Linked DNA regions of Kluyveromyces lactis. The protein of the gene in region 1 interacts with the protein of each later gene in a pairwise test. Links are inferred from orthologs where the notes say so. Each region holds a gene or a part of one and is shown on either strand. Other genes may lie near its edges.

Region 1 (3,031 bases):
AGAGACATTTACTACCATATGCTTTGGCCGCATGTTCGATGTCATTCTTCTTATTCAGCTTCCAGGTTCATGAAAAGACAATCTTATTACCTTTACTTCCTATTACACTCTTGTACACGTCAAGAGATTGGAATGTTCTATCATTGGTTTGTTGGATTAACAACGTGGCATTGTTTACACTCTGGCCATTACTGAAAAAGGACAATCTAGTATTGCAATATGGAGTCATGTTCATGTTTAGCAATTGGTTGATCGGTAACTTCAGTTTCGTCACACCACGCTTCCTCCCAAAATTTTTGACACCAGGGCCATCCATCAGTGATATAGATGTTGATTATAGACGGGCAAGTTTACTACCCAAGAGCCTAATATGGAGATTAATCATTGTTGGCTCATATATTGCAATGGGGATTATTCATTTTCTAGACTATTACGTCTCCCCGCCATCAAAATACCCTGATTTATGGGTGCTTGCCAATTGTTCCTTGGGCTTCTCATGTTTTGTGACATTTTGGATATGGAACAATTATAAATTATTCGAAATGAGAAACAGCACTTTGCAAGATTTATAGATGTTAAAATTTATAATAGCAGTAATGATACGGGGCGTACCTTGCAAGAGCAAAACCGGGATATATATTTCACTCCTCTGTTTAATCATTTAGGATTCTACTTACACTTTAATTAGTATTCATATATCGAATGTCAGTTTCGATCAAAAATAAACAAAGACAAAAAGCACCAGTATAAGACTCGTAAATGAGAAAAACAATTCTTCGTAATGAAATTCAATATAGTAAAACTCTCCATGCTGGATGCACCGTATTTGTGTAACGGCATACTCACTAAATAGGTAAAGTCTGAATATTACTTTAAAAGTATCATATGATCTGTTGTAGCTGTTATATAGAACGAAAAGTAGTAACCGTCACGAAATCTTATTCCTCGTGGCCCAATGGTCACGGCGTCTGGCTACGATGTTAGCTACTTCTGAAACCAGAAGATTCCAGGTTCGAGTCCTGGCGGGGAAGATTTTGTTTTTGATTAACTTTTTCCTTCTTTCAAGGAGCCAGCAACTCTTTGAACTTCCTTTCCATGGTTGATGGTTCCAAACTATTAGTAGCTTCTATCAAATATCACTACTTCTCAATTAAGACGGCACGAGTCAGCTTAAAAATGCTAACGATGTGAAATTGACGTGTCTCTGTGAATCTTTCGTCTTCTGTTGCCTTCTCTAACCGAAGGTTTTTCCGTACTTATCATTTTTTCGCCATTCACATTCAGGAAAAAGTTTATTATAATAGTGCTTAAATGACAAGTTGCCTGGATTTTATGTACTTTCAAAGAAGAGTTATCATTGACTCGTCCTTTGTTACTGCTTCATCTTATCGTATACAGCGGTTTGTGATCCTTATTTCATCTTAAAGCACTGTCAAAAGTTTAGAAAATCCGAATGTCCCTATCTAATAAGGAAATTGCTGCTTTGATTGTTGACTTTTTGTCATCATCGTCTTCTTCAGTAAACGAAGACTATGTTGATTCGTTGAATGTTGCCATCGACTGTATCACTGAGGCCTTCCAATTTGAAAGAGATGAGACTGATTCTTTAATCTCTGGTCCTTTTAATGGCAAGAAATTACCTGAACTATTAGCCTCAGCTCCCTCTTCTGGAGGCGTTTCTGGTGAACCAGTGAAGGTTCATATTCCAGTTGAAGATGCAGCAGCTAAGGCCAAGGCTGAAGAATTAAAGCTACAGGGTAACAAGGCCATGGCTGCTAAGAAATTTGATGAGGCTATTGAAAAATACACTGCTGCTATCGAAGTTTCTCCATCTAACGCTGTTTACTACTCGAACAGGGCTGCAGCTTATTCTTCTTTGAAGCAGTACGAACAGGCCGTTAAGGACGCCGAGCAAGCTATTGAAGTTGATCCTACATATTCTAAGGGTTTTTCTAGACTTGGATTTGCGAAGTATGCTTTGAATAAGCCTGAAGAAGCTTTAGATGCTTACAAGAAGGTCCTAGATATCGAAGGGGAAAAAGCTACTGACGTTATGAAAAGAGATTACGAAACTGCCAAGAAGAAGGTAGAAACCTCAATGAACTTAGAGAAGAGCTCTACCAGCGCTTCTTCTGAAGATGTTTCTGACAAATCTGCGACTGAAGGTCCTGGTGCAGGCGCTGGTGGCTTACCAGATCTTTCAAGCTTGTTAGGTGGTGGCGGTCTAGGCGGTGGTTTAGGAGCACTGCTAAACAACCCTCAAGTTATGCAAGCCGCTGAAAAGATGATGCAAAATCCAGGTCTAATGCAGGATATGATGTCCAATCCAGCAATGAAGCAAATGGCCAACCAATTCTCATCTGGTGGCGGCATGCCAGATTTGAGTCAAATGATGAATGACCCATCTATTAGAGACATGGCCAAAAACATGTTTGGTGGCGGCAACGGCAGCCAGCAATAACCAGTATACCCAAACTTTTGCTTGTCCTTTTTGACTGTATATATTTGATCTATATATGACTAGTTAAACATGCCCTTTCATGGTATCAATCAATTGTTGCATGATTTGTTTATTTTCCCTGATTCTTTGATCAACTATGGATTTAACGATATGATCGTGGTAAAACTGCTCTTTGAATTCGATGAATAGATTTATCCCCACTGCGATCGATTCATGTGTTGTTTTGATTTCACCGCCAATTTTCTTAAGGTTCAAAGAGCTCATTTTCAGTTGATTGGATAACTTATTCCTAAATTTAGACCTTTTACCTTCAATGTAGGTATCTATAAAATTTCTGTTTGCTGAAGAAGGAGGCGCCTTGTCATTTGGGAAATTTTTCTTCCACTCTTTCTTCAGTTCCATTAATTCACCAAAATGTTTCCACCATAAAGTTGTCTTTGCGAGAAGAGACTCAAAGTTATTAAGTAAAGTGACAACAGAGTGCTCTAGATATTCCAAGTTTCGAGTAAACTCATAATATGAAAGATCATAAGACCAAGCGCAGTTTGTATTTTCAAAACTTTTTGCTAC
Region 2 (2,968 bases), on another chromosome or scaffold:
ACAGTCTATATATATAGTATTAAGGAACCGAAGATGTCAGACTTTATCAAGACCGACACCTCAAGAGTAGGACGTGAGAATCAGTTGTATTCAAGTGTCACTGGTGCTAGACTCGTTGCAGGATGTATAATACTGGATGAAAGCCGAGAGAATGTCTTAATGGTCCAGTCATCCGCTCATAAGAAGAGATGGGTGTTGCCAAAGGGTGGTATTGAAAGTGATGAACCTGACTTTGAGTCCGCTGCAAGAAGAGAGACCTGGGAAGAAGCTGGTGCCACAGGCGATATAGTGAAAGCACTTGGTTCCATTGAGGATATGAGACCTCCAAAGGACTGGAACCCAGATTTGGAAGCATTCGAGAGTTCGAATGACGAAACTGTTAACAAATGGCCTCCCAGGTCCGAATTCCATTTCTTCGAGATGATTAATGTTAAATTGGAGGACAATTATCCTGAAGTGAAGACAAGAAACCGTCAATGGTTCTCCTACGAACAGGCCAAAGAAAACTTGACCCGTGCCAAGAGGCCAGAGCTCATTGAGGCTCTGAATAGAAGTAGCATCAAGAAAAGTTAGCATTATATATAACATAGAGTATGTTTATACCGAAGACTATTATTATTTACCTCCAAAGAAACCAGACATCATATCTTGCAAGAAGTTGATTGGTTTCTCGACCTTGATACCGAAGTATTCTTGGCCCAAGAATTGTAGCTCAGAGTTGTATTTGTTGGCAAGAGTTGAGTATTGTGATTTTAGATTCTGGAAAAGAATAGTTTCTTGAGTTTGACATGCGATTATTAACAACTGTAAAAAGTTCAACGATTCCCACGATGAGAAATAATCAATCTTATATGGGCCTTTCTCTGTTAACTCAAATTTTACATCTGTCTTGTGATTGGTAAACCGTTTTAAAAGTTCTTTAGATCCCTCCAATGCATATTCGATATTGAAGATGAACAAATAGTTGAATATCATTCTTGATATGAAATCGGGGAAACTGGAGTCCTCACCGGATTGCTGATACCAGTCCCAAAGTAGATCCACATACCGCTTCATCGAGTCATGAGTACCTAGCACTAGATATCTTTCCGCTTCGTATGTATATCCACCTTCAAGTAATTTTGTAGCGATCGCTGAATGTAAGTATGGGTCACCAAACTTATATTCACTATGTTTCACAGACCAATTGTTCATCCCTGTCACTACATCCTTTAAATTTGGTTCCTGGCCGTCAACGAGGACGAGTAATTGAATGAGTCTAGAGACCGAAGAGTCATTGCATGGAACCGATGCCAAATCGTAAACTTCAAGTAGATAGAAGATCAAATCTGAACCAGAACCACCTTGCTTGGACCTCAAAAACGCACCGGCTGCATGAGAAATCAAATCAATCGATTCATCATACTTTTTGGCCCGCACATATCTATTAGCAATGGTTCTTAACGTCTGATGGGCTTCATAATAATCACCAGCTTCAATTCTCGCATTGAATCTCTGTAAGGTCTTCGTTAATTTATCACTCATCTCTAAGTGTCTCGATCAAAAAACAATTAAGGTATGTAAAAACTCGCCTAACGGATTCAAAAGGCCTCTTGATAAGTACAAAATAACTTGATTCTGAGAAACACGAAAGCTGTGGTTCACTCGTTGGACCTTTACAATATGATCATGTTCTTTCTTTCTCTTCCTGGCGAAATTTCGGACCGTTAAAATATTGAAACTCAACAAAACCAATATTGAAATTGACTCGTTCATTAACTATTCTGATGAAAGATAGGGTAAAGGACAATAACAGCTGGAGCAGCAGCTGAGCTATATTGCCAAGGGATTTAATTACAATTTAGAACCGAGTAATATCTGCTTAGTGAGGTGATACATTTCGTTTTTGTTACATTATTAAGGGAACGCTGTCAAACAGTAGCATGAGTGATCTCAAAGAAGCTATTCAGCTCATCGATGAGAACAAACAATTCAATCCCTCGACATTGAACTATTTCACGAAGTGCCTTGGGGATAAAAATGTTGGAGTAAAGTATCATGTCATATCTGTTTTTGGATCGCAATCAAGTGGTAAATCGACGTTATTGAATAAATTGTTCGATACAAAATTCGATACCATGGATGCACAGGTTAAACGACAACAGACTACTAGAGGTATTTGGTTATCCCATTCTGCCAATATATACAGCTCTGGAGCTGCCAACCAATCCATTCCTGATTTCTTTGTTTTGGATGTCGAAGGTTCGGATGGTGCGGAGAGAGGTGAGGATCAAGACTTTGAAAGGAAAGCTGCTCTATTTGCATTATCAGTGTCCGAGGTTCTAATCGTGAATATGTGGGAAAACCAGGTCGGGCTATACCAGGGGAATAACATGGGGTTGTTGAAAACGGTTTTCGAGGTGAATCTTTCGTTATTTGGCAAGAATGAAAATCGTCACAAGGTAGCATTGCTGTTTGTCATTAGAGATTTTACCGGCCAAACACCATTGGAAAGTTTAGAAGCCAGTCTTGTCCTGGAATTAGAAAAAATGTGGTCACAGCTAAGTAAGCCTGAAGGTTGTGAAGATACATCTTTCCATGATTTTTTCGTTCCAAATTTCTTCGGTTTGGGCCACAAGGTCTTCCAACCTGAACAGTTTGATAATGATGTGAAGAGTTTGGGTGACTTGTTCGTTGACCAAGATGCCTCTTTCTTCAAAGATGAATACCATACTCACTTGCCATTGGATGGATGGTCTCTTTATGCAGAAAACTGCTGGGAACAAATTGAGAATAACAAAGATCTTGATTTGCCGACCCAGCAGATTCTCGTAGCTAGATTCAAAACCGACGAGATTGCAGCAGCAGCATACAACAAATTTTTGAATGACTATCAATCACAGGTCACTGACTCCTTGGATGGGAAAGAACTTGCAACAGTACTAAAAACATTACAATCAACCTGTATTGATGTCGACTATGACCCTTT
Region 3 (2,375 bases), on another chromosome or scaffold:
TGTGTGAATTGCGGCAAACTGGACAGAATTAGACTCGGTTGTTGTTGTTTGTTACTATTTAATGGAAGACTACGTGATACCGCCAGTTAGTAAGGAGGAGAGACCATCATACTGATTTGGTAATCTGGAAATTTCCTATGGTCACGTGATACGATACCAATGCCTTTACCCAAGGCGAAGGCGAAGGCCACTAGAACTGTGGGGCAGTACTTGGTCCAATGGAAACAATTCTTCCTATGTATCCATCATTACTAGCAATTGTAACAGAAACATTTCACTTCTTCGTTGTTCTCACTTTTGTAACTACATTTCATCTTTTAATGTAAACTTTGTGATGCAATTCATGAATTGAAGATTCACAAGTTCGAATATATTTTGATCATTAGCAGATTATTTCATTAGATTGATAGGGACATACATATAACATTATTTACAAGCGAGTAATATGGGTGACAGGATATTCCCTGGAGATTATATTTCTATTCTTGAGAATGTAGTGGAGGAAAGAAATTTGTTAGCGCCTTCTGCCTCTGATAAGGAGGCCGATGGTGGTTGCGCCGATGGCGATTCCTGCACTGATCAAGGCAATCCCTTTTAATCCCTGAGAAGTGATCTTGTTTTCTACAGCGGTTTGTAGCATCAATGCTTGTTTGTTTTCAGGTTCATGATGCACTAGTGCATCCACGTACCGCTTTGCAGTAGAGTATTCGCCGAGTTTGTAACATCCGATGGTCAAATAGTATAAGCACTCTCTTCTTCTCATTGGAGATTCTTTGTATATGTCCGTCAATAACTTAACACCCAACATCTGATCTTCCTTATTCGTCGATCTGACGAGACCCCAGGCGTAATTGAAGCGTGATTGAATAGATGATATTTCGCCCCCTTCATTGAGCACCTGTTGCCTTAAAATTTCGATTTGATCGCTGTTTAATGCAGAATATGAATCCTCCAATTCAGGAAGGTAGTGGATGTTAGTCATACCGCAGTATTTTTTTGAGCTTGTGCGAGTGATTTCAAGATAAAGAAATAACTGCTACCTTCGATCGTTTCAGATGTTGTTAATGATATTGTTTCAAATTCAATGTCAAATTATCAGTTTTAACTTTTCAATTTATTTTTCTTACGTCCGCTAGACATCTCGAAAACGTTTTGATTATATACAAATATATACAGAAAGTCATCTCTGAGAATTGGTACAGAGGCATCGCAATAAGATCAGCAATTGAAGTTCCGTTCCAAATATCAACACTGATAATTGCGGTAATTTATCCGTTGGTTCATTTTTGTCCAGAAAACTTACACTAGAAACATGGAAGATACAACAAAATTGAATACTTCTAAGTTGGGAACTAAGGAATACTGGGACGATTTCTACTCATTAGAGAAACAAAACTTCGAGGAGAACCCTGAGGATACTGGAGAATGCTGGTTCGCTGATAACGATGCAGAGGAGAAAATGGTCGAATTTCTACTAGATAACTTGGGCGAATACAATATCAAAGAAGACAGCTCAATGATTGATCTCGGAACTGGAAATGGTCATCTTTTGTTCACTCTATTGGAGGAAGGTTTCAAAGGTGAAATGATCGGTGTAGATTACTCTGAAAAATCAGTCGAGTTTGCTGCTGAGATTCTCAAGACTAAATACAGCCAAAATGATAACGTAACTTTTGCTACGGCAGATATATTCAATGAACAATGGGCCCCAGGTAAATTCGATGTCGTTCTAGATAAAGGTACACTAGATGCCATCGCATTAAGCGGTATAAAATTTGAAAACAATGAAACCGTGGTAGATGTCTATCCGAAAGTGATAGAGAAGATATTAGGCGAAAACAGTATTCTGTTGATTACATCATGCAATTTTACAGAAGAGGAACTCATAAAGATTATTGAAACAGAGACGTTGAAAAAATGGAAATCGGTAAACTATCCAATATTTGAGTTCGGTGGTGTCAAAGGAACTACAATATGCAGCGTTGCCTTTCTCAAATCTTCTGCTAAATAATCTTAATTAAGGTATTATTCAAAAGGTTTTAAGTAGTGTCAATTTTACAAAGTCTGTTTGAATCAGAAGTAATATGTCCAATTCAATTCTCCAGGATATGAGCATTTACTTTCTCATATAACTCATCTGCTATTTCAGCTTTTCCTGTCCTTAAGGCATACTGGACAGGATTCTTGTTCTCATCAACTGCTAATATTCTGACGAACTTTTCTCCGTTCAGAGAACCTGGGAACCCTTTTTTAATAGAAAATCCTTTTACAAGCGGTAGATTCAATATTACTTTCAATAACCCACGGGATCTCATTACTATTCTCGACTTTTCTGAAACTTCATCTTTATTTAAATGTAGAACACCAATTCCTCT

Evidence for each region.
Region 2: the proteins of SGT2 (region 1) and GET4 interact in binary tests that used the Saccharomyces cerevisiae proteins (3 or more experiments, as listed by UniProt). The link is inferred for Kluyveromyces lactis from reciprocal best matches to the Saccharomyces cerevisiae genes SGT2 and GET4.
Region 3: the proteins of SGT2 (region 1) and FIS1 interact in binary tests that used the Saccharomyces cerevisiae proteins (3 or more experiments, as listed by UniProt). The link is inferred for Kluyveromyces lactis from reciprocal best matches to the Saccharomyces cerevisiae genes SGT2 and FIS1.

The regions. Positions count from the first base shown.
Region 1 is NC_006040.1:104,277-107,307, reverse strand, and holds SGT2 (Sgt2p), read left to right. Parts: upstream 1-1,453; coding exon 1,454-2,461; downstream 2,462-3,031. Other genes in the region: ALG6 (dolichyl-P-Glc:Man(9)GlcNAc(2)-PP-dolichol alpha-1,3-glucosyltransferase), read left to right, coding at 1-572; KLLA0_D01133g (uncharacterized protein), read right to left, coding at 2,525-3,031. UniProt on the Saccharomyces cerevisiae protein: Co-chaperone that binds to the molecular chaperone Hsp70 (SSA1 and SSA2). Regulates Hsp70 ATPase activity. Required for recovery from heat shock.
Region 2 is NC_006042.1:1,886,881-1,889,848, forward strand, and holds GET4 (protein GET4), read right to left. Parts: upstream 1,525-2,968; coding exon 616-1,524; downstream 1-615. Other genes in the region: polyphosphatase DDP1, read left to right, coding at 34-573; dynamin-like GTPase SEY1, read left to right, coding at 1,923-2,968. UniProt on the Saccharomyces cerevisiae protein: May play a role in insertion of tail-anchored proteins into the endoplasmic reticulum membrane.
Region 3 is NC_006039.1:696,774-699,148, forward strand, and holds FIS1 (Fis1p), read right to left. Parts: upstream 983-2,375; coding exon 515-982; downstream 1-514. Other genes in the region: EFM4 (Efm4p), read left to right, coding at 1,313-2,011; YRB2 (Yrb2p), read right to left, coding at 2,094-2,375. UniProt on the Saccharomyces cerevisiae protein: Has a role in mitochondrial fission. Has a role in outer membrane fission but not matrix separation. Required for targeting MDV1 to the mitochondria.